Drosophila melanogaster: one gene and its partner. Changing the gene in region 1 together with any one later gene gives a genetic interaction. Each region holds a gene or a part of one and is shown on either strand. Other genes may lie near its edges.

Evidence for each region.
Region 2: of sws (region 1) and Pka-C3, changing one enhances a phenotype caused by changing the other (phenotypic enhancement), as found in Drosophila melanogaster (one study listed by BioGRID).

Annotation. Positions count from the first base shown.
Region 1 is NC_004354.4:7,963,760-7,971,403, reverse strand, and holds the start of sws (swiss cheese), read left to right. Parts: upstream 1-3,167; 5' UTR 3,168-3,862; coding exon 3,863-3,964; intron 3,965-6,454; coding exon 6,455-7,186; intron 7,187-7,231; exon of another isoform or gene 7,232-7,261; coding exon 7,262-7,644. UniProt on the Drosophila melanogaster protein: Phospholipase B that deacylates intracellular phosphatidylcholine (PtdCho), generating glycerophosphocholine (GroPtdCho). This deacylation occurs at both sn-2 and sn-1 positions of PtdCho.
Region 2 is NT_037436.4:15,949,827-15,957,713, reverse strand, and holds the start of Pka-C3 (protein kinase, cAMP-dependent, catalytic subunit 3), read left to right. Parts: upstream 1-2,916; 5' UTR 2,917-2,957; coding exon 2,958-3,063; intron 3,064-3,126; coding exon 3,127-3,189; intron 3,190-4,720; exon of another isoform or gene 4,721-5,612; intron 5,613-7,887. Other genes in the region: elgi (early girl), read right to left, coding at 1-75, 131-575, 649-791, 875-964; GXIVsPLA2, read right to left, coding at 1,661-2,103, 2,167-2,326, 2,405-2,494. UniProt on the Drosophila melanogaster protein: Does not have an essential role in development.

The DNA.
Region 1 (7,644 bases):
GACAGGAGCGGAAGAGCAGACACGGATACATACACACGAATACGTATAGGAATCGGATTGGGATGGATATGGATTGGATGCGTTTTTGAGCATGGAAACAAAGGACCAAAGAGTAAAGTCCGTGCGGCGGAAGGAACGGAGCCGGAGAAAATGTAAACACGGCAAAGCTAAACATGAAGAGGGAGCGATAAGTGAGAGCGAGAGAGAGGAATAACGGTTAGAAAGGGGGCGGGGCCACGAAAAGGGGGCGGCGGCACCTTTACTGCGTGTTTATGTCTGTTTATAGTTGAACTTGAATGATTGAAACGAGTCAGAAAAGAGAGGAGTACAAAAAGCCACAGAGAGGAGAGTGGAGCAGAGCGGGGCGTGAAGGACAGACAAGGAGAGGAAGAGAAATGCCAATGTCAAGGCAATTAGCCAGCCGAAAGCCGGTTGGAAAAATCAGCGGCCGAACTGGAAAACAATGCCACAAAGTGAGGTGGAGCAGCCGAAGGAGAGCTCAAAATGAAATGCTAAAGTGAAAAATGCTAAAGCAAAAAAGTGAAGAGACAGAGGAAAAAACAGGCAGCGAAGCGAACTGACAACTGCCATAGATTTTATGACTTGCAAGAGGCCCAGAGTAAAGACCGTGGCCATTGGCATTGGCATTACACCTGGAAATGGAGCAGCAGCAGCCGGCTCTGTCTAATTTGCACAAGACGTCTGGAAGTAGAGATGGTCGCGTGACACGATTATCTATTTTCCCCAATTAAAAACTATTTATAAGTCGAAGTATGAAACTAATTAGGTTTCCTATTTGCAACGCAAGAAGTCCCAGATTCAATGTTTAAGTGCAAGTATGTATATTTGCTTGAAGCTGTATTCCCATTTCGAGGCAACAAGCTACAGGAAATTTTTATAATATTTGTTAGATTTTTTGGAAAATAACAAATTGGTCGTGGCACAAAATGGAGCACGGGCCATCTCTAGTCTGGATGAGAGAGCAAAGGCAAAGGAGAGGAGAGCCATCTTTGGGCAAGGAATTCCACTTACTTTCTTTGCTTTTGCTGCTCCTTCTTTTTGGCTCTATGCTCTTCGCTGATTTTGTTGTTGTTGCTGCTGCTGGCGCTGTTTTTGTTGCTGTTGCCGAAGTTGTAACTGTTGTTTTTGTTGTTTCTCGGCGAGATCGAGATGTCACTTAGTTGCTTGTTTTATAGTATTAGTTTGCTGATTATTATCCTGTTTTCGCGTTTTCTATTTAGCACTCGCTCTCTCGTCTCCTTTTTGTCTGCCTTTTAGCCGGTGTTTTTTCAGTGCGTTTTCGTGTGCGTGCGTGTGTGTGCGTCTGTCGTCACACCCTTCACTTCGCCAATTCGAATTTCGAATATATATATCTCTGGGAATATCTGGAATATTTTTTGGCCAACAAATTTCTCACACTCACACAATGTAAAAAAAAGTGAAGAAAAAAACGTAAACAAATCACGGTCAGGGCGGCAATTAATTTGTAATTTCCTGCTCAAATTGGCAGAAGGCAATCGAACGCTTTGCTTTGTCCGGCTCTTTTTTTGGTATGGCAGAAAAGGATTTTCACGATTCGAGATTACTGATTGCAGGTTTTTCTAAGACGAGACGCATGCGCGCACAAAACTTTAAGTTTTACTTTTGCGAGAGAGAGGAGAGAACGACCGCTCACGAACTGCACTCCAGTGGGAATGAAACCCGTTGCGAGCGAAGTTGCGCTATTTGTATCGCCGGCCAGAGATGGCACTGTTGCCATTGCGGCGGCTTCTCACCATAGCAGCGCTCTGTTAGCACAGCCGTCTGGCTATCTTTGTAGCTTACCTAGTGAATTGGATACATGAAAAAGGAGTAGCTATATGTGCGATCCATTATTGTATAAGATGAGCATGTAAGAATTTTATTTTTAGCCTTCACAAAGGAATATCGATATCGATCGAATGGTTGACAAAATGACACACAAAGAAACATTTAGCGGGAAAAGAGCTAAGATCGCAGTGCATTCGAAACAACAGCCAGTTTGTTGTTGTTGGCTGTTGGCTAACAACAGCAGAAACAGACGTCTGCTAGCCAACAGCGCTGTTAGCTTTCGCGCGGCTTTTAAAATACGAAATCGTAACGGTCCCTGGGCAAAGGAAATGTGCATAACTTAAGTGCATTGCATATTTAATTGCAGCTGCAGCCAAAAACTGCATCCGAGACTGCAGCTGGCCACCCGAAAGACGCGTCTCGGCCGTTTTGCTTGGCTGGCAACCGAGACTCTGGTGGAGATGCTTTATGCTCTAATAACCCAAGCTGCACTTGCTTTTATTGGATGTTGCACGTTAGTTTCGGACCTCAGCTCCGATTCGGGTCCGGATTTCACCAAAATCCTTTAAATCAACACACATGAATATTAATACTGATTTTAGATTTTACAGTTGTTAATCACTGAATATTACCAGCGGCCGTCTCCGCTCTTCACGGCTCCTTGACTACCAGCAATCTTAAGCGGAGTTAATTATGCTCGCAAATTAATGTTTGACTGCATGCCAAGACATTTTCGATTCACCTGCACTGTTTTCAAATACAATTTAAGCTCTAGCAGCGCGCGCTCTGCTAAGTTTGTCGCCCCACAGCCATGTTCTTAGCTGTTGTCAACGCAGTGTCGCACTTAACATAGGGTTGTCAAGCAAGAAATAATGATAATGAAATTTAAAAAAAAAGTCAAATAAACAAGAATCTTACATTTATAAGCATATCAGCATATCACTTTTGTAAAAATTAAAATAATAATAATTTATAAGAATAAGAATATATATTATATTATTATTATTAAATATTATTATAATATTTATAAATAATAAGAATAATTTATTTATATATATTTGACTACATAACGTGCCTAACACAAATTTTAAAATTGGCTAAACGTTTTTTCTGATATGGACGCCCTAAGTATTATTTTCCAAATCAAATAATTCGGCTTGCATACACCTAAATTTTTCGAAAGGTTAACATTATTTTGAAATAACCGTTCTAAAGTCGACTTTGTATGGTCACTCTAGCGGGCTGCTCTACACAGCTGTGAAACAATCGATTTCCGGGCATATCGATGTTTTTCAATCCACCATCAAAGCGAATCGATACCAATAACAATAATTCTAGAGTGCATTTCAGTTTATTAGTTTGTAGTTACATAGCAAAATGCGCGTTTATTTCGGCTCAGTAAATTAAGAACATTTTCGTTACACGTTGCCACGCCCCCCCATCCAACGGCAAACCACCCCCCGCCTCCGCCTTCAAGACAGAGAGAGAGATAGAATAAAACAGAGAGAGAGCAACAACAACAATATATAACCAAAACGAAAGATTTCCGCAAGAAACCACAAAAAAAAACAACAATTGCTTTGGTTCTGATGATTCTCGTAACAGCAAAAACAACAAGATTTATAATCTAAATCAAAAGAAACTGTGCTCTCCGCTGTGCGTGGCTGTGAGTGCGTTTGTGCGGTACGGTGCGTGCATTATAACAATTATTGCACAAAAGGCATGACAAACGTGGGGCGGGGGTGTCTGTAAATGTGAGTGCGATAGAGCGCGACATATTCAAACAAGCTAGGGACGGAGTAGGTGAGCGAGGGAGAGAGAGAACGCGACGGTGGCAACAACAAAGGGCTGTGATTTTACTTTGCCCCCTCCACCCTGTACCCCGTCCCATCCATACACTTGCGTATTTACCAAATAAACGGAACATACATAAGCCAAAATAGGCAGAACAACAACAACATTAAGAGTCAACTAAACAGCAAATCGAATAGTTTCGTGGGAGAAAGGACAGCGTAGCAGAGTCATTGGAAAACTGGCCGCGTAAGGGAGCGCAATGGATGTCCTGGAAATGCTGCGCGCCAGCGCCAGCGGCAGCTACAACACAATATTCTCGGACGCGTGGTGCCAATATGTCTCCAAGCAGATCACAGCAACGGTAAGTGCACTTCACCCTTTCTTTGTCTTTTTATTTGCTTTGACTTTGGCTTGCTGTTTGTTTGCAATATGAGTGAGTCAGTTGGAAGACAATATGTGCGAGAGCGAGAGGACGCGAGGATTAGAAGGGCAGCTGGAAAGCTTAAAAAAAAATGCGATGCAGGATTACAGCTGTTCGGGCTTGTGTCCGTGCTTAACGCGCGGGAGAGAGAACGTGAGCGAAAAGAGAGCATGTGGATCTTACTTGAGCAGGATAACAGCTGTTTTAGGTTCATGTCCAGGCTACATATAATATAAGATTAATAAGTATTTACGTACTCACGTCACAATTCTTTTATATAATTCAAGAATTTTATTATGAATATAGCTTTTTTTTGTGACAACATCCATAAAGATTAGGTCCCCTGATAAAAATCACAGAATGAGCGATAAAGCAGACCTAAGTAGTTAAAGTAAAGTAAACAGACATTATTCAAGAAAACCCACTTGAGTATTGAGAGCAAACACCTGTTAGAAAATTCCACTGTATTTTGTATGCGATTTTTTAATGTGTAATCCCATTATCTTTATGGAAATTTTTCTAAAAAAAAATTTTTACAAAATGTTAGCTTGACGAATAAATGTCGGCCAGACATCATAGGTTAAGTACTTAGATTTATAGGTAGAAGAATCGAAATAGTCGCTGTTCCTGACTAGTTTACCATAACTTAGTTCTAGTAAACCCTATCAGCGGATTGAAGTTTAGACCCCAGCTAAAGTTTAGAACGATACAGGCTAAGGCAAGTGTGGATTTCAGGACTCTAATCTCTCTTAGAACCCAGCCAAATGATAAGAAAAGAGAAAAACCGGAAGAGAAAAGGGGAAACTTCCGTGTTTTCATTTGTCGCCACAAATCGAAATTGTTTTGTGGCCTTACATAAAACAAAACGAATGAAAAACAAAAACCACTGACTACAGTAGCCACATGATAACACCACACGACCATAGTATTGATAATGACACCCAGGCGACCCCGAAGCAAGCAAAAAAAAAAAAAGAAAAACTAAACCACCCGAGCTGATAACTATGATAACCGATTGCTAATCAGAAGCACGTGCAATCGTGGGCGGGGGGTGCGTACGAAATCAGTTTTCAATAATTCAATTAACCCCTTGGGGCCAAATCAATTTAGCCGCCTTGTGACTGCGCGAATTTTATCATTATCGTGTTGTTATGCGAGTGTGTGTATGTGTGTGCTGTCCGATTAGATCAAAGCAAATCCAATTGGATAAGTGCGTGTGTGGCGCAGCTTCGGCTTCCAATTAGACCGACTGAGTCAATTGGTATTTATGGCATTTTTTCTTGTACATTTTGCAAACCTGTTGTAAAAATAAACTGTAAACAAACAATAATTGCTGGGGGTAATAAAAGACAAACAGTAAGGTGCACAGTGAGAAAGAAAATGTGCAACTTATAGATTAAAAAAAAATGTTTATTTCTATCGAAAGAAATCGAAACTACGCCACTATAATTAACGTTTAATGAAGTGCGAGAAAACGCTACATTTTTCGCGCTGTGTAGTATCAAATGCGGAAACTGCAGACAATAACAAATGGGTAGCAGCAACAACAAATTGCCCGAGAAACTACTGCCACAACAAAAACAGCAAATGCAACAACAACAACCGCATCGAACAAGAACAACTCACTCAGAACCGCTAGCAACAAACAATAAAACAAACATACATACATACATACATACATATGTATGTGCAGCGACGTTGCGTCGCCGTTTCAATGTCAAAGTGCCGAGTGCAACAACAAGATTTAGGGAAAATAACAACAAAACACAGCTGATGCACTTGATTACACGGGCGTGACACTTGCTTTTGGGAAATTCCAAGTGTCTTCGTGCTAAATAATTCATCCTAAATAACTGGGCGACGTGGAAAATACGAAATGAAAATCATATTGGAGACGACATCAAAAACCCTTATATCCTTTCGTTTCAATGTCATAAGCTGAAGAAGAATGGGAAACTAATTAACCAATTAATTAATAATTAAGAAACGTGATTTAGCAAAGGAGTTGGCACATTAGTACAAGAATTCACATTTTTTTGTTTTGCATTTCAGCAAAAGTGAAAAACCATATAGAATCAAAAGCATATTATATCATAGTTAGATTACCCTTTCATTTTACTTCAAAAACACTTTCAAACACTTCAAACACTTTTAGTTCAATTTTAGATCAAGAATAACAAAAAAAAAAAAAAAAAACATTTTCTTATATATATATATAGATTTTCTTTATATTAGCCTTTAATAGCTCTATTAAGAATGTTAAGTTTGGAACCAGCTCGATATGACATCGATTTCAACTTCCGAGGAAATCAGACAGTTTTCACGTGGTTGCAGCAAAGAGTTCTACCAAACTCCACAGCCATTATAATGAAGGCCTTTGAACTGAGGAATCAACTAATTGCGCGCTATCTTATACAAATTCCTTTGCAGGTGTACATGTATTTCGCCCTGGTAATGATGAGCCTGCTCTTCATAGCCTGGTTCTTATACTTCAAACGAATGGCACGTTTGCGTTTGCGCGACGAGATTGCCCGTTCCATTAGCACCGTAACCAATTCATCCGGCGATATGCGTGGCCTGCGTTTCCGGAAGCGTGACAAGATGCTATTCTACGGCCGTCGAATGCTGCGCAAAATGAAGAACGTGAGCGGTCAAATGTACAGCAGCGGTAAGGGCTACAAGCGTCGTGCTGTCATGCGTTTCGCGAGAAGGATACTCCAGCTGAGGCGGGATAATATGCCGCTAGAGATGCGCACCGTGGAGCCGCCAGCCGAGTATCTGGAGGAGACAATCGAGGGCAGCGATAGAGTTCCGCCCGATGCACTCTATATGCTCCAGAGCATTCGCATTTTTGGACATTTCGAGAAGCCGGTCTTTTTGCGGCTCTGCAAGCACACCCAATTGCTGGAACTGATGGCCGGCGACTATTTGTTTAAGATAACCGATCCGGACGATAGCGTCTATATCGTTCAATCGGGCATGATCAATGTGTACATCTCCAATGCCGATGGCAGCACACTATCATTGAAGACGGTCAGGAAGGGCGAGTCGGTGACATCGCTGCTCAGCTTTATTGATGTCCTGTCGGGGAATCCCAGCTACTATAAGACGGTCACCGCCAAAGCCATTGAGAAATCGGTGGTCATTCGTCTGCCCATGCAGGTAGTTTATCTAACTAAACTAAATGTTCATTGAACACTCACTTACTTCTTATTTTTTTCCTCCTTGCTTTGGCAGGCATTCGAAGAGGTGTTCCAGGACAATCCGGACGTAATGATTCGCGTCATCCAGGTGATTATGATCCGGCTACAACGCGTACTGTTCACCGCTTTGCGCAACTACCTCGGTCTAAATGCCGAACTGGTGCAGAATCACATGCGCTACAAGAGCGTATCCACAATGAGTGGACCGATTAACTCGCAGACCTCGCAATCCTCACGCCAGGCGCCCAATGGGCCGCCCATGGTGATCAGCCAGATGAATCTGATGCAGTCCGCTGTTTCGGGAACGGGATCATCGGGTGTCTCGGTGACCGTAACTCGACCACCATCCTCGCCATCGCGACACTCGCGCGAGGAGCACACGCTATCCGATCCGAATCCAAATCCGGATGGTAGTTT
Region 2 (7,887 bases), on another chromosome or scaffold:
GTGGCAGAACTCCATAAGACTATCCAGGATGTGTGGCGGACAGCCCGACTCGGACAAAGCGCGCTTGATCATGAGCTATCAAATGAAAAGTGAGTTAACGTTTTAAAAAAATTTAGAATTTGGGCTTCACCTGCAGTGCATCGTCGGGCGTAGAGATCATTCCCCCCCAGCGCGTAACCCTGGCCCGGGGCAGTGTGCTGCTCCAGCGGATCACCTCGTCGCGCTCCATCTGGTCGGCTATGGCCCGCATCGCAGGATTGGAGACGCGCATGGCACGCATAAAGTCCTTGAATAGCTGCAGCTCGCGCTTCAGTTCGTTGATAGTCAGCTGCTGGTCGGTGAGCTCCGATTTGAGCTCACCCATTTTTTCCGTCTGCTTGACAATTAAAGTGCGCAGCTCCCGCACGCAGTTGTGGTCCTTTAGCTCATCCTTGGGTATGTCAAAGCCGCATCCCTTCTCGCAGGGAAATGGTCGCTTCGGATTGTGAATGCATTCGTCCAAATGGGAATTGTAGGCGTCTAGCTTGAGAACAGCCGTGCAGCCATAAGGCGCATTGTCACAGGTGATTGACAGTCTGGTTGGCAAGGGTCAAAGATTAGTTAGAGTCCACAAGGTTCACAGAGTAGAAGGCGTTGGGTTTTTCTCACCTGGACAGTAGGTTGCGCAATATGCGAGGCACTGCCCGCAAGTTGGCAGTAGTCAGGGAATTTCGATCCACCGGACAAGTGGGCTGGCGGGTTAGCCACTCGTTAATGCATCCGCGGCAGAAGGCGTGCTCGCACATCACGGCCTGAATCGGTAGATATGTATGATTGTTTGTATTTAAAGCATATGTATGATTCGCGGTGTGCGTTCTTTGCAAACAAAACAAACCTGCAGCGGATCCTCAAGCACTCCGGAGCAGATGGGACAGGTGAGCTCCTCGTCCACCTCCCCCTGAAAGCGATTCACATCGTAGCCCATCTTAGGTCCTCAGCACGCTGGCCATCCGCATAAAAATACTATTAATAATTCTTTTCTGCGGATTGCAAAATCTGTGTGTTTTTTTTTCGGTTCAGTCAGTGCAGTGTTGTGTAGTGTGACTGAGTAGTGTTGGAAAGCTAGGATGGCACTTCAGCTGTAATCCGCGAGAAATGGCTTCTTAAAATAACTGTTTAGCTTGAAAATATTGAGATATTTTCTGTTCCACCTTAGTTTTAAACTTAAGTTTGACTTAAAGTCAAAATTTTTGATATAATAGAATTCTTGTTTGATCTCCATTCATTTATTTGTACTATTAAATTAGCTTTGGCCAGGCAGCTTAACAAATTAAATACGTCATCGTCCTGGTTAAAATATGTTTACACACTTGTCGATCATATGATTAATAAATAATATACATATCCTGCCCAAAGGACCACGTCAGCATAAGCCACCGGTGATTAATCAGCGCACAGTTGATTTAAAAATATAGCATCTTTATAATAGGTAAAAATATCAATGTATTTAACAGTCTGGACCGTTGGCATGCCACTATTTGGTATACAATAATGAAATTCGTCAAAAAGGGAGTCCAATGGACATGGCTACCCAATTCATAGACTAACACAACACATAAAACATTTAACGCTTAATCCGATACCCCCAGGTCCCCGCACCCTCGTAGCCAGTGATCCTGTACTATATCTCGTTGCGATCCTTCCAGCCATATTTCTGGCGCTGCTGCTTCTCCCTACTATTGCTATTACCCTGCCTATTGCCATTGTAGGAGGAGCTCTTCGGCGGGGCGCAATAGCAGGATCTCTGCTGGGAGTCCAGATAGGAGCGGCATCCCAGGGTCAATGTGCCGGTGAATAGCATCTTGGCAGCCGCCTTGCAGCCCTTCATCATCAGATCGCTGGCTATGGACTTCTCGTAGCTGTCGCAGTACTTGTACAAGCACCTCTTGAAGTCCAGGTCGCACAGCTCCTTATCGCTATTGCAGGTGTCGTAGCAGATATCGTGGTCATTGCAACATGTCTCCATCTCCTTGGCCGGCAGATAGTCTGTGCTGATCCTCAGGCCCAAGGAACCACATCCATCTGCGGTGGGGGTATAGAACTTATTCTGAACCGCTCTGGGCGCTGTAAGATAAACACACATATGGATGCTGGGGAATTTACATAATGCGCAGTGCGTCACCACACCTGGTCCTCCGATATCCGGTGCGGGGCACTGGTATATGCAGTTCTCGTCCACGGCCGCATCGAAAACCTCGTGGACCGTGCGAAATTTGCGCACCAGCACTATCAGGTTCTTGAACACGTCACCAAAGATCGCCTCCGCGGCTATAATGGCATCCCTTAGCTAAATCCGGGGAGAGAAGATACAGGAGTAACAGATACTAGCTCTCACAGATTTCCTACGAGAAGCGGTGCACCTTACGTGGACTATGGTGCTGGATCCATAGCCTGAATAGGCGTAGGTTAGGAACGTAAGAAGGTATATGGCCACCTTCATCCAAGAGAACTGCATGTTCGCTGTTTAATTCGTTTTTGAAGGGTCAGCTATTTGTTGTTTGCGCGTAATAATAAACTAAACTATGCGAAAGACATTTGTAGCAGTGTGACCAGGCGTCATCGTTCAAATATACCAACCGGCTCGGAAATCATACCAAACTGCATATGAGGTTGCATACTTTTAGGCACTGTCCTGACATTTCAAAAAATCCTAATGGGAAATTTAAAACCGTTTTTAAATATTATAAATAAAATACGTTATGATTTATAAAACAAAAAAATTTATGAAAAATAAAATCTTGTTGGCTTTGCAGAGAGTATTACAATTAATGCTATACATTAATAAAAGTAAATTGAATTTCAGAACACTGGCGCCATCTGGTACAGACAACTCAAAACATTTAACTGACAATACATATACATCGATATTTCGAGGGGGGAAAATTCAAAAAATTGGGAATAAACAAAATTTTCCTTAAATGGATTTGTGGCATATATTTTTGGAACGTATTTTAGTGGCTTGCAGAGTCAGCGCAAGTGTCTTCGCAAATTTCGGCTGCGGTTTGTATTCCAGCTGGAAGCTAAGTGAGTTGTTTCCCACAATTATACTTAGTGCGGCAAGGATACTAACATTTTTATGCCTTACAGTCTGCGGCGACCATGACTCGGCTTCCGGTCTGCGGGCAGGACTTGCCACGCCCACTCAAAGAGGTGAGTGCATGCAGTGTCCTTGCACTTGACAAACAGGACTGAAGCAGCCTCAAAACGAAATAGTGAAATAGGGAAAAAAAAGTCGCGCACAGAAAACGTAAACGCAAAGCTTGCTGACATCTCGTGCCTGCCTTCGCTTAATTATAACATCAAATTGAAATGCACACGGCAATTGTATGCGGCACCTGAAATGAGACTGTGGCACGCAGGCGTCACTCGTACTCGCATTTCGTTTGCACCTGACCTTGTTGGCCTTTATTACAACGGCCAGCGAAATCAACGTGCATAAACATGCGAACGCAACACCCGAAAACCGTTAAAGAGGCGCGCTCGCTGTTTGCTTAAAACCGAAACAGAGGGCTCGTAAATACACAAAACATATTTTCTAGATTTTCTCAGCAACGAATCGGCGCTGCCGCAAAGTCTACTGAAAACAAACAAGACACTGAGGAAAAACACCCCCACCATAAAAACACACATAAACCTTTTGATTTAAAACGACTTCTGGCTTGAATCGTAGGGTTAACTTATGTACAATATGTACATCATGTATGTATTTCATATCTGAATTACATCCTGTATGCATTATTTTCCATCTCTACTATAATAACCAAAAGTCTTAATATTTGTTGAAATAACACAAACATAAATAGGTATAAGTGTTTCTTGGAATATTTAAAAATTCACTGCTGACGAAAAGTCTGCTGGTACTCCTACACTTGGGAAAATCCCACATTTATTACAATTTTCCGACTTTTCGCAGGCAATGTGTCTGTTAAAGCAGTTAAAGAAAAACCAATCCAAAAACTACCCAACATTAGGATTATATTTATTTAATAATCAGGTAAAATCGTAAGATAAAAACGTCTATAAAATCTATTATTAAACGTTGTTAAAAGATAAAAAGATATTTCATAAGAAATATAATTTTGCATTTTCTTATTTATGATAGTAATGAAAGTTGTTATTACACAAAAAAAATATGATAAGAACAGTTAAAATATGTAAATTATTGTCTTCGCAGCGACAAAATATCTACTTTTTTGTCAATGTATGTATCTTCTAGATTAATTATTATATATATATGTATGTATGTAGATTTTGGTCGCTGCAAAGACTTTCAGTTCCGTGATGGTGTTGTCAATTAGGGCGCACACCATGCTGGCCGCCTTATCGCCATCGGTGATTCCGGACCGCCTCCGCCATCCTGATGGCGATGATCCTGTTGCCGCCAAAGCGTTTAGGCCCTCAAATGGAACGGCACTCGGGACACTTGGCCAAAACCAAATATCTGCACACATGGAGAGCAAACACAAACACATCCGACTATCAAGCGAGCATCCCGAAGCCATCTCTCCCTCTCCCCTTGGCTGCCAGCAGAAGCATCATTATTACCATCGTCATCATTGCCCACTGCCCCGCCCCTCCCGACCAGGCCGCCCCCTTTTCCGAACCACCACGACTGTGCTGCCAACTGCGACGCTGACGTCGACGTCGAGAGCTGTGGCAAGCGATTCGCAGATTTTACGTTTCAGTTTCGTGCAAAACGTGGAAGCGGCTGGTCAACCCAAGAAAAACACCACAGAACACTCAGAAATCATTCGAAAGAAAATTGGAAAATTTGACATTGGTCTTCAGACTAGTCAACAAAAAAAAAAACAAAACCTATTCAAAGTTTGCAATCATCACGTTTGATTAATTGCGCTCAGTTGGACTAATTTGGCAATCTGCTGGTTCAGCGGAGGAAACTAACAAAAAACCGAAGAAAAACTGCAAGTTGCGCTGTAAAAACCGGAAATTCTAGATCTCTCGGATCTCACGATCCCAGCGTATATAAACAAAACAAAGCGGCACCTTTAGACACACAACAACAACTAAAAGAAACCGAAGAAAAACCCACGAAAAAAGTGACACAAATAAAGCAAATCGCGATCGCTGTGTCCAGTCGATCCGCAAAAAATAATACCTATGGCCCCCGTATACCTATAACACCCATAATACCTATACCTATACCCCCTCCCGCCGAGAAACGCTGAGTGTTGAGTTTATTTCTGTTTCTGTGTCGGCTTCAGCGGTTTTTTCGCCTTTTTTTCTGTTATTATTGCCGGCCAGAAGCGAAGGAAAAATCGAAATCGACGGCTAGTCGCGGAAAATCGTGCGCTCTTAAAGTAACATATTTATTTTTAACAATTTCGCAAGCGTTCAAATTTTGCTCCAGCAAAAAATCAGAATCAGAACTCACCAACCAACCAGACAATCGCAACCTGAACAACAACAATAAATATAGATCGGCTGTGGGATCGTTAAGTAGGAAAAAAAGAAAAACAAAAACCAAAAGGCTAAAAAAACCAAAAACCAAAACAAAAACCAAACCAAAAGGCAACGACGACGGCCGGCAAATTTGGATCTCAAAATTTAGCTCGGTGAGTAATCGTGGGTAGTGTAAAAAGTGGAAGCCAGCAGCCAGCAACAAATCATAAATGCTTGCTTTCCAAAATAGAAACAAAATGTGGAGATAAATTCGTTTGATGATTAAGCTTTGAGTACTATAATTAGGCGAGCCGATTTAATTAGTACAATTAGCAAATTACACCTCACATGGCGGGCTAAATCTTGATATTTGGAGTGGAAGTGGAAGTTGGAAAGTGTGGGTTTTTTAGATACTTTGAGATCTTGCTAATGCAGTCATTAAGTTCGTTAGATTCGTAGATTAATGCGTCTTTAAACATTTAAATAGAGGTGGAAGATCTAACTCGTCATAATGTTAAAATAAATATGATAAATATAAATAAGAATAAAATGCTAAAATGTCTGATTTAATGGTATATATCCCATATATCCCACATATATATAAATTAAAAAAGGCGTGTAAAATATTTTGAATTTTCTTGAACATTTCAAAGTTCAGAAAGCGTGATAAATTATTAGATTCTTCACTGACAAATGGTAAATATATAAAAAATTCCAAAAATGTATGATTTACTTATGCTTAATAATTCAAGAAAGATAATATTCGAGTTTTCCGCTTCTTTCAAAATCTGCCAGCTATTTGCATTCAGGTGACCCCATTTAAATTGCTTTTCTTCATGTCGCGCTTCAATAACTCTTCGCCAACTCAGTCAAGGACTTTCGAAATCTATTCCCCAACTTCTCCATACGCATAAATGTTTATATGTTTGCCTAGCCAATTACAGCAGTGGCAACTTAAGTGAGGAACTAGCACAAGGACAACGGAAGTACTTGCTCCATAAAAACAAATCCAAGACCATAAATCTGTATCGTCCTTATGTGAGTTTGGGAAAACCAACCAGATCCCAGTGAAAATACTCGTAAGGAAAACAAAGCGTGTCGCTGTATTTATGTTATGATTGCATTTAGCCGGCATTATTTTTGACGATTATTGCCATTTGGGTTTTATTAGCCAGAAACGCATGGGAGCGACAATCCTTATTTCGTCAACCGAAAATGGCCAATGAATTTTCGTTTTCGTAACACCCCCATCATTAATTCAAGTGAATGCACTTATTCAGTTAATTACATATCCTGGCGTATGAAAAATATTATTAATGACAACGCCTACAGCAAATTCTCTTTGACTGTTTGGAAATTCGAAAATACACCGATGACGATGATATTAATATGAGACGCTTTCTTTTTATGAAAAAGTAAGCTATCTATAAATTCGTGAACACATATTTTTAAACAAATCGCCTCGCGCTGTTCTGAATTAATTAAGCACACAATTTATGCCTTAGGTCGCCCAACGAATTAATAAATGTTGCAAACATTGCACCCCAAATTAATTTCCCCTATCAAAAGGTCAATTGGCTTGCAGTCACAAGATTAGGAAATCTTCTTTTGCTCAGCATTTTAAAATATATTCGCTGATTTTCCGAATAAATCAAGTGTCTTTATGTTAGGTGAGCTAAGGCCCATGGGAAAAGTTTCATAATTTTTTCGAGGAAATTTCCTTAAGCATAAAAGTTATACCGAATAATTTATTGAATTCAGCTCATAAATGGGATTTGTGTAGAAATATTTTGAATGGATTTTATAGGAATATAAGTAATTTCAAGTTGTTAGGGGTTCCATTCTCTGGAAAAAGTGCAAATAGGAAGATATTATCTCGAAATTTGTATATTATTTGGCGTAGCTTTTCTAAAGTAAACGTCATAAAACGTTTATTGACCCTTGCACGGAATCCGTCTCTTAATCAGAATTTGTAAATCCATTTCTGCAGAAGCAGATAACCCTGATCTTGCGAAATCTCACACCCCATTCACCTGATCTTAGCATCTTATCTCGCAGGCACTAATTCTTGAGTTTAACGTTAGTACGAGCCATATACAATAGTATATACTTTTTATTGCGTTTTCCATTCACGAAAAGTAGAAGCGACTACAAGAGAAGGAAAAAAAAAAAACAGAGTGCTGGCCACCGGAAGATTAGGCAACAATTTAACATTTGGCTGGCTGGCTGGCAACGACGACCCCAATTTCCATTTCCATTTTCAAATTTGGCAGCCGCCAAGGTGAATGGGGCCGATCTTCAGAGTGTAAGTGGGTATACATATGTGAATATATATGTATATATATATATATCTGCATATAGGACTGAACGATCGGCTGAGATCGGTTGTTTCTGCTTCTTGGTTCTTTTGGTCGCTTTGCTAATTTACAGCCCGAGTGATTGTCTACA